Caenorhabditis elegans: one gene and its partners. The protein of the gene in region 2 interacts with the protein of the main gene of each other region in a pairwise test. Each region holds a gene or a part of one and is shown on either strand. Other genes may lie near its edges.

Region 1 (3,910 bases), on a different chromosome or scaffold from region 2:
CCAGTTCAATAAATCATTCTCGCAACGACCCCTGAAACGATGACATGATTGAACAATAATTCGTTAACAAGTCGACTCAATTGCAATAATACACGGCTGCGGTCTCCTTCGACAATTGTCATCTTGCTAAACAATTGAACAAGACGAATGAAAAGAAGGTTGAGGTTTTGACAAACTGTACAGGACGCGTCTCTAACCTCCTTTCTCAAATTGGGTGGCATCATTGTTCGAAAAAGGTGTCGCTATAATTGACGAATTATTCGACTCCTAGGCAGACGATCTTCAACTGTAAAGGTGTTACGGAAAATCTACTCAGCTATGAAAGTTGGAAGGCCTCCACTTTGACGAGTAACGTAGAGTGTTTGAGGTGGAGAGGAAGCGGGACGACTTTTTGCTTCCCCCCAAAATTGTCTATTAATGAGAAGGCTAATTGACGCACTTGGTGTGAGGAAATCGCTACCGTAATTTTGTCATTTGGAATGATTCGCAATGTTCTGTTACTTGAGCGAAAACACTCCAGCGTCCGTTGACTGTATTGCATTTTATTATTTTATAATAACCAAGACATTGAAAGTGAAACATTACAGAAGAAATTAAGAGATCGGATTTTGAGAATGAGGGCAAAATTAAAGTGGCTCAGCAGGAAAAATAGAAGAGAAAAACAATAGAAATTGAGAATTTGACATTTTGCGTGATGAAAACCGGATAAATACTCTAAGCGAAAAAAAAACAATCTTCAAGGTGGAAAGGTATTATTCATCCTCATCTGATTCTTTTTTAGAAACAGATGCATTTTTTACAGAATCAGGAGATACTGATGGTGATTCTTTTGGGGAACTGATATCATCTTTTACGTTTTGCGATGCTAGAAATTGCAGTAGAGAATTTTGAGAGTTGCTAGCAGGAATCATTGAAGAAGTTGGGACGACTAATGAATTGAATACAGGGCGATTATTAGAAGCTCCAAACATTGAAGTGTTCTGTGATAAGTAGTTTGCCCAATATGGATTTGTTCTTAGAAGTTGTTGAACGGCGGCCATATTTCCAGCATCGTGAAGAAGATCCATACCAACAGAGGCTTGTCGTTTCCATTTGGTTCTGAAAGTACCGTGAACATTTTTTTTCATTTCAAGCACTTTTTTTCTCAAATTTTTTGCGCCTCCCAGGGTAGCAGCTCCAATCTCAAAAATTGGATAATGACAGTGGAGCCGTTTCCCGTGGGGTGGTTGAAAGGAGTGGGGGAGGGCGCGGAAAAAAGATGACACTACTAAATAAAATTGGTGGGCGCACGCAAAGAAATTGAGGAGGGGTGAGAGCTTTGATTAAGATAAATTTCGATGGGGGTGAAGCTTCTCGCTAATGCACTACAATTAACACAAAGTGGCGTGTTTAGACTCAATTCTCGCCCAACTGCTGGCGCAAAGAGCCACACGTTGTTGTTTTTCGAGAAAAGAAAAAAAGTTTGCCTAATTAAGGAATATAGCCGACCAACCTTCTATTTTGATACCATGTCTTTACTTGAGTATCTGTTAGCCCCATTCGATGAGCCAGCTCCATCCTATCTTGAACAGACAAGTACTTCTGCTTCTCAAAGGTGTTTTCTAGCTCTTGAAGTTGTTTGTCGGTGAAGATAGTTCTCGCCTTCCGAGCCTTTTTTGATCCCACGCATGTCGGACTCTCGTTCACAGATCTTTCGGTATTCGGGCTCCCAATTCTAGGGGATGATGGCGATTCCGAGGAATTAATGGAGGTAGGAGATGGATCTACAATAACAAATAAATAAAGAAAACTGTTTGTATAGGTAAGAGGAGAACAAAGGATCATAATTGGTTGACCTATTACTATTACAGATTACCGTCCATGTGACTACTGGAGCGTTAATCCGTTAAATATCATTTTTCAGGTTAGTTGTACATTCAACATTCTCATGGAAGTCTATGTAGATTAAAGTGTTAGAGATGGTTGAACGAACATACAATAAATGCAATAACTTTAGGAAAATGGTGGCAAAATGGATTACCTGGTTCGTTGGTTGAGTGTGAAGTTGGATCAAGCAGATCAGAAATGCGAAAAGAGCTGTTTAAGTTTATCTTCGCGCCACCGGAAGAACTCTGAGCAGCAAGTTGGTTGGTGGGGTCTAGAAAGAATGCAGGAATCAGAAACTGACGGAGATCCAACATTGACATTGTTATGATAACCTTATCAGATGATGTAACAATACAATAAGTTTTGTAATAGTCAAATTGAATGACTTTTAGACAGTAGTTTAGTGTGAATGAGTGGGTTGGAAGGGTCCTGTTGCCTGCAGTCACTAAACGTCGCAAACTCGTTGATTGGTCTAGTCACGCCCATGCGAAGTGGAAGGCGGGGCGTGTCGAAGAAGGGAATAGAATGGATGACACCACGCGGTTTTGTATTGAGAAGTGTGGTCCGTGCAATCCACCTTTTTGAAGCCAATCAAGTGTGATAATGGGGGACGATGAAGCTGAAAACGAGCAGCTTCGAGGAAAAGACGAAAAGCAAAAGTTTCGGAAATGAGGCATTCAGGTGAGAAGAAAACAATTCAGACAAATCCCGAAACTGCCGAATGCAAACTATGCACACTAGGCTTTTCCTAAAAGCAGAGTAACAACGCAATGCAACATGATCCAAACGAGCAATGATTTTCAGATAAAAAAGCACTGAATAGAATTCAATATAACTAGCTATGCTAGTGTAAAACCGCAGAAAAAATCAAAAATAGCATGCTGCTTCGGCGTGCAAAAACTAGCGACTAAAGCTAAAAATGAGTTTCAGCCCGAATGATGTTTCAGCTTTCTGACTAAAAGATGATGAGGTCTAATAGGTACATTGTGTGTGTTTTAATATTTGATACATCACTGATTTGAAATCAGCACAATGGAAAACACTATCTGAAAAGTTCAGTAACAGTGACTACTTTTGATAGTTCATTTTGCATTTAGATTTTCCTGGCTGTGATCTTAAACTTGCTTCACACGTACAGTTCAGATTAACTGGTAACATCTTTTGGTACTTGTGTAGTATACCTAACACAAAAACATTTTCCAGTACATTTTCCATGCATTTCTTTTGAAACATAATAATTTATTCAAACCATGAAATAGATTTGCATTTTTAGACTTTGAAATACTTTAACCTTAAGCCTATTATCGGCAAAAAGGGGTTTAATATTTTTGGACCAGGTGTACTAAACTGGTACCTAATTTTTTTAATCCCAGATCCGCAAAAATCAGATTCTCAAAACACTAAAAATTATAATAAAATGCTAAGTAAGTAAATTTTTTATTTATTTTGAGCTTTATAGGAACTAAAAAAATGTAAACGTTTTCCGAGCTTTTAATTTCTTGAGCATTTATACTTAATTAGAGTTTAAATTTGTATTTTTCGGTAGCCGAGTTTGCAATAGTCTGGGTTCCTCTTTTATAGACTATTATGAGCAAAAAAACTTTGTTTTACATATTGAAATATTTTAAAAATTATAAACTAATATTTATAGTTGTAAAAAATTTTCAGACCCTTTATGTTTGCTTGAAAATTTGTTCAAAAAGTTTTCAATAAAATATCATGTTGAAACATCGTTATCATTCTGAAAAATATATTTGCAAAGTGAACAATGTCAACAATCGTTATATTTTTCACAACCGATTCATGAACAACGCGAATCTATTGTTTGTTATCAACGTCTAACAACTTACTAATACTTAATTTCCTGCCGTATTACCTCTCTAGTTTTCCGGCTGTTTATGTTTGGCGGCCACCTCCGTAAAACGTTAACTTAAACGTACAAATCTAATTTTATGCTGTCCCATCGTTTTCCCTCTTTCCCACTAACTAATAAGCAATATTTCCGGTCACAAACGGTCGATGAGCAACAATAATATCTGCATTC
Region 2 (4,586 bases):
CGTATGGAGATGGAGCTGGATGACTTCCAGAAGCTCGAGAGGGGGAAGAAGCTAATATTGAATTAGTTTCAAAAAGTCCCACAAAAGTTACAAGTTACCTCCATATCCAGCTTGTCTTTTTACTGGCCCTGAACCAACAGCCTTCGTTGATTCATACATATTTTCCAGATTCTTAGCCCCGTCAACACAAAATCCAACCTAAAAATGCAGAATAAATACCAAAATGTGAATAGAAATCACTTGCATCAGTTTGAACAGAGCTTTGAATATATTGTAGATATGTGTAAAGCCCAGGAATTAGAATAATGCACATGATTCCAGAAGCAGCACTGAAAATTTCCAGCTTGTACTATTCTGCCACGTGGAAATCGGAACATACCTGACAACAGTCGCCACGAAAGCAACTTTTCGAAGTTCATCCTCTTCAGAATTCACTAAATTCTTCTTCAAATTCATTTCTTCTTCCAATCACCTAATCATTTTCAACTGTGTTTTATATCATTCACGCTTATCACTTTACTGTTTTATTACAATCCTACAACGGATAGAACACGTTAAAAAATAAGGATAATTGATAGCAAGTCAAAGATAACATTACACATTATTAGTGGAATGGTTCAAAAAACATCTGGAAAAGGGAGGTAGATGTGATTTAGATTGAATCGTAGACTTAGGATGAGGTTTACATTGGGTAAAAACCAGTTTCGATGGAGAAATGTCACAGAAAATATTTAATGAGATAGGTGGAGAGTGGAGGAAATTTTACATTTTACACATATAAAAAACAATCAGTATTCGGTTAAATTACACAGCTTGATCATCCACATACATCAGTCGCCAACGGCTTGGATTTGAAATGTCGAGCAGGAAGAATTGATTATTGTCCCAATTATTCAACATGGGTTGATTGAACATTACACTGATCTTTGGTGAAATTCCGAAAAGAAGCATTCCGATACATTGTTGACCACAGAAGTCTTGAAGTGCCTCTTTTAAGTGTGCTTCATCACGGAGATTGATTCTCATTGGAACATAGAGATGCTCATCTGTTCCATCATTTTTAGAAAGGAAGAATTCAAAATGATGAGTCGGAGTCGTAGTAGTTCTTGGATATCTGTTCGGTTCTCCTTTCCACAGTTTTCTCAATTTTCTGGCAAGCTCGAAAGTTGGCTGGAACATCGGATCTCTTCTCAAATCATGTTCTTCATTCGTCAAATCAGTAGCTTTTCTTTTGATTGCTGGTTGTCTATATGAAGGTGAGTCGTAGTTCTCTGTTGGAATTATTAGTGGAGCAATTGTGGCGGTCTGCAATGGCTTAAAAATTATTATAGAATAAACTTTCAACACTAAGTTGACATACCAAGTTTGGAGACATATGCTGTGTGTATCTTTCAGGAGTGAATTGTTCGTTTTTCACCATATTTGACATCTCCGTTTTAATATTATTTAAAAATGGCATCTGCGCAAGGAGCATTGAATGAGACGTCATTGGAGCAGTGGCCGAAGTTGACTGGAGAAAAGACGCGACCCCAGAAGATGTGGGTATTGAGCCATTCTGCATTGCTTGCGCATAAGCTGCTCGAGCCGCCACAATTGATGATGCACTTTGTTGCTTCTGTTGTTCTTCTTCTTGCTGTTGAACGAGCCTCTTTGCAGCTGCTTCTCTATCCGCAACTTGCTTTCGGATCTTTCTTCGTTGATTTGGATCAGCAACATTTCCAACTATGTAGACACGATTTCTTTCGATATTCGTTGGGTCCAATCCATAAAGTCTAACTTCTTCATCTATTGGTGCACTGTGATTGTGCTCATGGATAAACGTGAGGATCTTTTCAGTAACAATATCCGTATGCATTCGTGCTTTACAAGTGTTCTTGTATTCACATCTCCAGAAATATTTCTTTTGACATGATGAAAGCTTGTCAAATGTCATGAAAAATCCGTTTGAAAACACTTTCAGACGAGTTTTCTTTGGGATATCAGTACGTGGAGAACCTGCATCTCTTTTAGCAACCGCAGTGGATCCATTGGCGAGAGCGGCGGTCAATAATTTTGACATGGTGAGGCCTGCGTTGTCTCCGAATCCACCGGCACTGGCACTGGCAAGAAGTGCCTGTAAAACAGCGTTGTTCTGAAATAACAATCAAATGAAATAACATCTTGGATAGAGGAAACTTACTTTAATAACGCTAGACATATCAATTCCGCTCGCGAGCAACTGGTTAACAGGAGCAGATGTAGATGCTTGGGACACAATCTCCATTGGTACAGCTGTGACAGAAGTCGATGGTTCGGAAGTTTCGGCTTCTCCATCATCGGATCTAACTTCAGGAGCATCCGCAAGACTTGGAGCATTAAGAGAAGACGACGACGGAGGGGATGGAGAAGATATGTTGGAGTTCATTCTGAAATTAATAAATTATTCTAAGTTACATGGAAGATAAGACCAATTGAGTGATGAGGTTAAAATAGGAAGTAAAAAACTATGCAGCCAGACGGTAGACCAAAATCCTATTGGAATGACATATTTGTAACATTAGCAGCGTTCGGGGGTCTAAGTCTCTCAACCCAACGGGGAAAGGGCGGGACATTATGGTCCCTTCTTCTGCGTCTCTCTGATTCATTTGTTGTCTCTTCTAATGACGTGCGCGGTCAGCCGCTCGCGGACCGCGTACGCGCACTCTTGGGTCCGTTCCACTGTTTACACCAAAGAGGTCCTTCGTGGGAGGGCAATCGCAGCAAACGGGAGCAAAAAAAGACGACGGCATGGAGGCAGCGGGGACAGATGGTGACGTTGGATTACAGTAGATAGGGCGATGTTGGGAGGGGAGAGAAGAACGCTAGACGTGAGAAAAGGGAGACATGTAGGATTAACAATAGAGGCAAGCGTTTTTTTATGATTGAGCAGGAGCCTTACGATTCTGGCGAATACATCCTCCGATATTAGATAATTGGAAGACGCCGTCCTGAAAATAAATTTAGATTTTATAAAAATTTCGAATAAAATAGATTAAGATGGCAACGTGTGTAAAAAAACAAATACTGCCTGTAAAATACAAAAGCGAAAAAAAAAACGATTTTTAAACAAATGTCTCATAGTTGAGAATATTTTGATTTATTTTTGGTTTTATTTTTAGATTTGGCAAAAATAATTTAAAATAATCCAAAAGGAACTTCTGTTTATTTAGGTTGGTTTTTTAAGCATTTGAGAGATTATAAGAATAACTTTCGGTTTTCTTATAATTGGAAATTGAAAATTACTATTTTAACGATTTAATATGAAAAGAAATTGCGAGAAACACAGATCTGTCCAGAGAAAAAACAAATGAAACGAAAAATGATGAACAGTTATGCGCGTGGACTACTGTCACTCATTGACGTTTTTTGTGCAATAACGGCTACGATAAATTGCGTATCACTGGAAACTTATTTGAACAGGCCTAAAAAACAAAATAGAATATTGCATGTTGCTTTGGTGGTCCACGAGGTTGTGAAAATGGAAAATGAAATATCAATAAGTCACCATATATATTTTTTACATAGTTGCAGCAGTTTCAAATAGGAATTCATCTCTAATGGGATGATGCAAGTGAATTTTTCTACATTTCTCAACAATTTATTTGCAATGCAAGTAAGCAGCGAAATGACGCGAAATTCGCAATTTTTTTACATTTATTTACATTTCTCTACATTTCTCGACGTGGGAAAAAACACTCATTTTTCGTCAAAACCACGTCTTTAGTTCATGACTTTACCTTCCCAGACGTTCACGTTTGTGAAAAGTAGTGTAAAATGGGAAAAATAAAAATAATTTGAGAATTTTAAAAGATAGATGCGTGGTCATTCAACGTGGTTTTGAATTCTAAAATTTAAAAATGATCAAGTTTGATTTTTCAAATTTGGCTGTTTTGCAACACCACGTTGAATGGCCACGCATCTATCTTTTAAAATTCTCAAATTATTTTTATTTTTCCCATTTTACACTACTTTTAACAAACGTGAACGTCTGGGAAGGTAAAGTCGTGAACTAAAGACGTGGTTTTGACGAAAAATGAGTGTTTTTTTCAAATGTCGAGAAATGTAGAGAAATGTAAAAAAAATGGCGAATTTTGCGTCATTATGCTGCTTACTTGCATTGCAAATAAATTGTCGAGAAATGTAGAAAAATTCACTTGCATCATCCCATAAAAAGCATTTTACTAGCACATATGAAGAAAATAACATTACAATATTATTTGAAAATTCAGAAACGATCATAATCTCTTCCTCTTCTAGCCCGTACGTGGTTTGGCTTTGGTTCTTTATCAAAAAAGGGATGCAGCCTTTTCGGCTCACAGTTAACAATTTGGTGTAAAATCCACTTGTTGCTTAAAGTATGCAGCCGAAAATATTCAACAGAATCAAATCTATCAAACATTTTTTGAAAATTAACTTTTGTTTATGGGGTGCTGAGATGTATACAAAATTTCGATCTGAAGAAGAGAAGAAATGCATTTTAAAAGACCTCAGAAGTCATGGGAACATTAATATTGTGTGGAAGAGAGCTTCATCAACCGATGTGAGTGCCACCAAACAAACGAATTCTT
Region 3 (7,584 bases), 1.9 Mb from region 2:
ATGTTTTTTGAAAATTGCAAATAGATACCGAAACTTTGACTAAAAACTTTGAAAAATCTTAACCATGTTGGTTATTTTTCGGATGTTCTGGATGTTCAAAAATGAGTTTAAAGCATTTTCTTTATAATATTGGTTGTTGTTCTGTTAGTTTAAAACTTTAAATTAGTCAATAAATCTCAATAAAAAATATTCTAGCATAATCAGGTTTATCTACAAAAACGTAACGCGTTCAAACTATTGACAAAACCATAAACAAATCATTAAAAAGGGGGAAATCAGTCAGCTAATGATTTGGTCATCTAGTTGAATGGGAATATCAGAATGATATGGATATGATAAGAAACGAGGCCATTAACAAGGAAAACGACGATGACACAATATGACATTCAACCGTTCCATTTTCCAATAAATCTCTCGGTTTCTCTCCCATCATTTATTGATTTCTATTGTTTTTTATGTTTCGAATCATATGTAGTCTTCTCAAAACTGTATGATTCACCTTTTTTTAATGATGTTTGTATGCCAATTGCCATTGTTGTAAACGTTTTATTCATCTGTTCACAATATAAATCAGAAAATAATAAATTAGTTTTAAAGCTTACCATTTTTTTTCTCTAAATTTAAATTAAAAATTTACAATTGAAAAATGAAATTTTGAAAGTATAAATCAAAATCCAATGAAAATCCGGGCGAGGCAAGAAACGGAGTGAAAAAGACAATGAAAAGAGATACTTAGAATAATTGAGTTACTGTATATGAAACATGAATTTACTATCTAAACCTCTTCAACATTAACACTCTCTTCTTCTTGAATTGATAATAATTCAGTTATTGATCGAATCGAATGACGTGGTCTTGAAGAGGAAGGGGATGATGCCGATGAAGGCTGAGTTGAGGAATTAAGAGCCAAGAAAAGTTGAACGGGATCCAGTTCTCCGACAGATCTGCAACAGACTCAGTTAATCCACTGTACTAATAAATGCTCATCATACCTATCATCAGTAGAAGAATTTTCATCAAATTGATTGCTACTCGTCGCATCATCCTCTTCTTCAATATCTTCACCCTCTTCAGTTTCGGTTTTTTCTTGTTTTAATAGAAAGTTCAAATTGAAGTTTGCCATTGGAAACAGTGACGTAGGAGTGGGTTGTTGTGGTGGCTTGAACATGTCTTGAATAAGTCTTGGCATTGAAGCTGATCCAATTGAAGGGCGGAATAGAACATCAATTATTGAAGTTGTTGGAATAGCGGCAATTGCATTTATACATCTGAAATAGGTTTCAGACTGTGAAGTTTTCAGAAGGAAAGATGGTACTAGAGCGTTTAGTTTTCATTAGTTTTCAATAATCAATTTCGCTTTTTAAGCAAATAGGAAATAATTTGCATTTTTTGTGAGAACAAAAAACACTGCTTTTTTAATTGTGGAATTTTTTATATTTTGAGCCGAAAAATGAACTTTTGAATAGGATAATCGTACAAAAACTATAAATGAACTTTTTCAATTGGTTAATTAATTAATTTTAAAAAAGAATTAGCAACCTTCAAACTAGCAAATACAATATTTAATTAACTTTGATCGTTGCAACCCACTCAGAAAAACAGCGTTTACCTTTATAGTGAAGTCTCACATTATTCCAAAAATAAGAAAATTGAAAAAAAAAATAAAAAAAGGAACTTACTGGATATATCTCGTCGGTTCGGTTCTATGTGTGAAATTCTGAATAGATGCTAACTGAAAGACAATTTGAATTGCACTTGGTGTATCTCTCCACATTGTGAAATGTTTCAACATCATGTATTCTCTATTATCCAATTGTAAACGTTCAATTATTTCAAACGCGTTAGCAACCTGAACATTCATTAATTTTTCAAAATATTCAGATTCATATTACTGCATACCGCATTTCTTTGCTCTGAGCTACCGGATATCGTCTCAGTCCTTATTTGCTTAGAAGTTATGGCACGTGTTTCAGTTGCATGGAGAACAAGAAGTGCTGCCCAATTTTGTTGAAACATTGTCATTTGCCGTTCTTTAGGTACTCCATTCAAAGGATTCTGACAAAATCCAACAAGTGCAAAAAAGATTCGAGCAGCAGTACCGGCCACTGTGTCACGATTCATTGATGATGTCGGAAGAATTATTGCATCACTTTCTGATCCCATTTCCGGCTGAAATGAAGGAAAATTAAAATCATCTACTTAATAATATTAACTTTTTCACTGAAAGTTAATTATAGAAATTTTAGACATAATTTCCTCTTGTATACGATATTTGCTAATTCTTCCAATCAGCTGTCCCTAACAAGTACTTATGCAACATAATCATTTGACACTATGTTGTCCCCACTTAAGATCCATAAGAGCACAATATTATTGAGTAATTTGTATCCGAATACAAATAGAAACATTAAAACATCTGCCCCAGAATACACATATATTCACAAGTTTTTGAAACTGGCTGATTTTTCAAGGTGCTCTTTTTTAAAGAATCTGTCACGGTTTTGGCACGTATTTGGTGTTTAACTGATAATTAGAGGATATTTTTTTGAAATTTGACGTTTTGAGAAAAACGTACCACAAAAAAATTAAAATGTTTTGTTTAATTCTTCGATAATTGCCAATTCAAAAAATTGCCAACTTAACGAATACTCAGCACTTCCGGCAACAACCAAGTTACCGTGTTGTAGAAAATTGCAATTCATTGCAATCATATTTCTGACCATGCTCTATATCCTAGGTGTTCCCTTCGCCAGTAAAATGTTTGACTATGTTCAAGAGTGACAAATCACCTGTCAGGTGGTACTGTAGATTTGTACAGCAACCGACAACTTTTCACCTTTTTTACTTTTCGTCGCCGCCGCGTCGGTGTCAACTCGACCAAAATCCACCTGCGGATTACTGTACTAATTCTACTCAAAATCCTTTTTTCACTTCACTTTAGTCACTGATTTTTGTGAGTGAGAAAGAGAAAGATCGGTAATCATGAGATTTAAATGGAACTATTTTGAAAGTCATTATGAATTCAAAACTAAATTAGAATCGATAAATTTAATTAAAATTATTAAATATTTTGTCCTTGTAACATATCCGAATTTAAGATTCCCACAAACACATACCGAATTAGGAGAGGATCCATGATCGAACATCATCTGTTGTCGTCTTAAACTTGAGTTACGAGGCCCTCTCTCATGTTGGACAGCATCTTTGTTCATCCCAATTTCCAGACACTTTCTTAGTCGGCAAGCTCTGAAATTCTCCAAGTGTCATCAATCAATGTATGGACTCGAACGTAAAGAGCATAAAAGGGGATCGTAACACTAATCTGTGACCGTTAAGAACTCACCTGCACTGGTTGCGGTGTGTTTTGTCCACTTTGCATTGTCCTTCGGATGGACTGCCTTTGTTTTTGCACACGTATTGACGATGACGACGGATTGAACGCTGAAATTTGGAATTGTTGTTCAATTTCAATGATAATTATGCTAAGGAAATTTGAAAGTCAATTCACATTGAAAAAATATTTCATGAGGTCTCAAATCCTAGACATACATTATAATCGGAGCAGAACAAAGTTAATGTTGCAAAATGATTGTAGACATTTTTTGTTGAAGATTAACACATTTTTATCTATCCGGAAATTCAATAATATAACAATTAGTTTCAGCAAAAATTAGTACCTTGTCTAACCAAGGTGTGCGCTTTTAAAACGTACTGTAGTTCAATAAATTTGTTTCTGTCGAATTTTGGATGGTTTTTCGATAAAAATATATGTTTTTTAATAAAATTCAGATGTAACACATACATTTTTAATAAATCAGGAGAAAAATTCGGCAGAAACGAGAGTACATAATTACAGTACAGTTTAAAGGCACATACCTTTTCCCGTTTAATAAAAAAAATTCACATCGAGACCGGTTACCGTATTTTTAGAGCAAAAATGGGAAACTTTCGCGTCTAGATAATACTTTTTTAAAAATTTTCCACTAAAATTTACTCTCAAATTCGAATATTTTAAGCTATCTAAAAAATGAGAGCTCAATAAACATTAAAACTTACTTTAAAGAATCCAGCACACCCGTCGCAGGAAAAAATACTGTAATGCTTCCCCGACGAATGATCTTCACAGACTCTACAATCAACATCCAATAGAATTCGACCTGAAGAAATAATCATTTTTAGGTGTGAAATAGAATGAGGAAATCAAGAAAGCCAAGAAGGAGAGACTCCAATTATTCAGCACTTCCTGTGTCTCTTGCCTGCCTAATTAATAGAATATGAAAAGAGAATGAAGGCAGAATGGAAATGGATTTGTTGAAAGAAAAAGGCAAGAAGTGAACAATATTTCAAATTGAGTTTCTACTTCTTGGATATTGAGTATTAGTTTTGATGTTGTTCGTATGACTTTAAAAAATTAATTTTATTTAACATCATGACCTTTCAAATCAATTCTAGTTCTAGCTAAATGGTGCTAAATCCACAGGTGCCACGTGTCACAATTGACCCGAAACACCTGCATCTCCCACAGAAACTCTTCCATTCTTGTACTAATTCCATCACCTAACTCATAATTCACACCTAATCATTTCTACCATAATATTGAGTCACTATGTTTAATGACTTCCTATTTTACTTATTGGAGTTCTCGTGCCGGGGAGATTAGGAAAAAAAAAGGAATTTTTATGAAAGTTTTATGTGACTTTTTAGTTCTGAAATCAGGGTTCTGAAATAATGTCTTAATTTTTCAGTTAGAAATTTTTTCTCACACTGAAATTGATATGCATTCAAATTATGATATTCACATTAGACATTTCTTCATTTTCTTTCTTCATTCACACAAACTAGTTTAGGTACAACTACAGTAACCCATCTGCACTAAGGCTTCTAGAACTCATATATAAAGATACATGGATTTACTGTAGTTTGTATATTAATGGATTTATCCCATGGAAGAAGTCAAGGTTCAGATTTTGTTAAATTTGAAGACAATGGGTAGTAAAAAAATATTTAAAAAAAAACAGGAGTATTTCATAGGGTTTTCAAAATTTTGTGAAGGTATCAAAATCCTATACGTATGTATCTTGCCAAAAAAGCTCCCACTTTTTTTTTCGATATTATGCACTTCCAAACCCATTTTTAGGAAATTCTTCCCTAAATATTTCAAATTAATAATAATCTACTCTGAAATTGAAATTAAAATGAGAAAATAACAATTTTATGTGGCTAAGAATGTGAAGTATGCCCACCGGGCAACTCATCCTACGTTTATTAATTGCTCAAGATCCCAATTTTAAAATCTGAGTTTCTTTTGAAGTTGGGAATTGGAAAAAAGCTTTCTACAGCTAAAGCCTGGAAGTTTAAGAAAGCTCATTTTTCCAAGAAAGTTCGAAGTAGAAGTTTTCATCTTCTGATTCTAGATGTTGACGATTAACTTTTTAAAATTGACTTACTGCTTGGAACCGACATCTGTGAAACCGCAGTCATCATTCTTGGCGCCAGATTCATTAATTCAAGAATTCCGGAATATTGAGCACACAGATTCCCAAAAGACAAATTCTCTCTTCTTAAGGCGAGAGTGAGAGGCAGTCGGAAAGGCGAAGGCGAGTCACGTCGTCAAATCATGGGCGGAGCTAGCGACCACCACTGACAGCCGACGGAGAGAAAGCGAAGAGAAACGACTCTGAGGGATACTGTAGACGATGCAATAAGCCACGCCCTGATTGATTTTGAGAGTTTTTCTAGTGTACTGTTTTTCAAATATTCAATTTTTTGTTTTCATAGTATCCAGGTGAATGCCAAATTATTCAATTGAGTGGTAGTTTTATGTTAATAGCTCAAGTAACATTGTTCAGAGTACAGAAAATCTAACTGAGGTGCTCTTGTAGTTGAAATGTTTAACTTATTTTGGAAAACTATAAATCTGAAAACCTAGACCACTGTAAACTTTACTAGTGTGTGAAGTTTTCAAGCAACCACTATGATTGACCACACTCTACTCATCTTTTAATTTAACTTTAACTCGGAGTTTTCAATTTTTATTTAATTTCAATACATTTTATCTGCAGTTTGACTTGAACAAATTTTGAAACTTTCTCAATTAAGAAGTGGTTCTTTTCTGGGATTCTGGTTTTTTCGGAAAACAGTTCTGTATCCTTGGTCATGTTATTATATTTGCCCTATATAGTCAATATTACTCTTGAAAACTCCCTTCCTGTCGGATCCTTTTATTGCTCACGGAGCATCCACCTCATCCCAAAAACTTTGTTCTCTTTTCATCCCGCGCACAATCACCACACACTTCTTGCCGTTGTTGCTCCCATTCTTCAGAATGCCTCCTCAAATCTTTTTGGAGGCACAAGTTGAAGGAGTTTTGGAAGACTCAAAAGAGCTCAAAAGACCCGACGACATCCCTGAGAATACTTGACCATTCATTGTCATCAGTAAAGACTTTATGATGAAAAGAATTGGAGCAAAAGTTTTGAGCAGAGGAATGGTAGTTTTGCCGCAAAAAGTTAGATGGAGTCTGGGGTTCTATGTGAAATATGTAGTAGACTGTTTTGAGAGAAAACTTCAGGTCGTGTGAAAAATTAAATATAAATATTATTTTAGGGAAACTCTAGGTTCCAGACTTGCTTGAACCACAAACGTAAAACTGACGAATTTCAAGCTGTATTTTTTACAAACTTCATTTTCAACTTTATTTTTTATATATCAGTATCAGGCATATAGTTCTCTCTCGGAGAGCCAGAACAAAATCGAACCAAAAAACCAATATCCCTTGATTCATTAAAATTTTAATTTTCTTTGAAGTTAGTTGCTGAAAACTTTAACATTGTAACACCGATTGTAAATTCTTAGATTCGTTATTTAATGTTCTACCCCTCTTGTTCTTCAGTAGGTTGTCACAACCAATTCAGTGTAGTCTATAGTATTAGGTTTCTAAGCAAAAAAAAAAACAGTAAAATATTTTTCCAGCTGCCAGGCTCATGGTATTTTAGAACCTAATAAAATTCTTCAAATGCTCATCATATAAATTGAACTCTCTGTGGCTTGTACCACAGGGTACGAACATGACCTCCATTTCATTTTAGTGGTGAACACCTGCATTTCATTTTGATGCTTACGCAATCAAAAATACTTTTTTTTCTCGATTTTACCCAAGAGTAAGACAATGTGTTGGGATTTTACGCAATATCGAGAACGATGCAGGAAAAGGTCGTTGAAGAGAGATAGACAGACGAGGGTCATACAGGTGTGAACTTTTGGAAAACTTAGCGAAATGGTGGGGGGGGGGGGGGGGGGAAGTAAAATGAATAGATCTTCCAATGTTACATTGGATTGTAAATTATTTATCACAATCATGTTTCCGTATAGTATTGCATCCCATCGCTCTATGTACTTGGACAGCTTATGTTTCAGTTGTCTTTTGAGTTGGTAAAAAGTTATCAACTGACAAAACAATTTATATTTTTTCTATAGTGCTTCAATCAGACTTGTGAACAATTTTTCATCACGTAGGCATTAACTTCTCTCGTTGGGAGGCGAATTTTGTGGAATCCCTAGTATTCACAGAATTTCAAAATCCGT

What was found. Proteins that work in one complex are often made in the same cells at the same time.
Region 1: the proteins of flh-1 (region 2) and ceh-31 interact in a two-hybrid assay, tested with the Caenorhabditis elegans proteins (one large-scale study listed by BioGRID).
Region 3: the proteins of flh-1 (region 2) and nhr-67 interact in a two-hybrid assay, tested with the Caenorhabditis elegans proteins (one large-scale study listed by BioGRID).

The regions. Positions count from the first base shown.
Region 1 is NC_003284.9:3,068,122-3,072,031, forward strand, and holds ceh-31 (Homeobox protein ceh-31), read right to left. Parts: upstream 2,302-3,910; 5' UTR 2,187-2,301; coding exon 2,021-2,186; intron 1,764-2,020; coding exon 1,493-1,763; intron 1,436-1,492; exon of another isoform or gene 1,153-1,435; intron 1,099-1,152; coding exon 753-1,098; 3' UTR 527-752; downstream 1-526.
Region 2 is NC_003282.8:9,261,298-9,265,883, forward strand, and holds flh-1 (FLYWCH transcription factor 1), read right to left. Parts: upstream 2,967-4,586; 5' UTR 2,935-2,966; coding exon 2,918-2,934; intron 2,406-2,917; coding exon 2,180-2,405; intron 2,132-2,179; coding exon 1,361-2,131; intron 1,315-1,360; coding exon 805-1,314; 3' UTR 511-804; downstream 1-510. Other genes in the region: col-120 (Nematode cuticle collagen N-terminal domain-containing protein), read right to left, coding at 1-51, 99-198, 245-329, 380-456; Y11D7A.19 (NADH dehydrogenase [ubiquinone] 1 alpha subcomplex subunit 13), read right to left, coding at 4,513-4,586. UniProt on the Caenorhabditis elegans protein: Probable transcription factor. Binds to the DNA sequence motif 5'-[AG]GGCGCCG-3' in the promoters of target genes, including micro-RNA genes, in order to repress expression, and acting redundantly with flh-2.
Region 3 is NC_003282.8:11,167,734-11,175,317, reverse strand, and holds nhr-67 (Nuclear hormone receptor family member nhr-67), read right to left. Parts: upstream 5,571-7,584; 5' UTR 5,485-5,570; coding exon 5,448-5,484; intron 4,158-5,447; coding exon 4,057-4,157; intron 3,442-4,056; coding exon 3,344-3,441; intron 3,247-3,343; coding exon 3,117-3,246; intron 2,909-3,116; exon of another isoform or gene 2,779-2,908; intron 2,170-2,778; coding exon 1,900-2,169; intron 1,850-1,899; coding exon 1,680-1,849; intron 1,269-1,679; coding exon 993-1,268; intron 945-992; coding exon 776-944; 3' UTR 527-775; downstream 1-526. UniProt on the Caenorhabditis elegans protein: Orphan nuclear receptor that binds DNA containing an extended core motif half-site sequence 5'-AAGTCA-3'.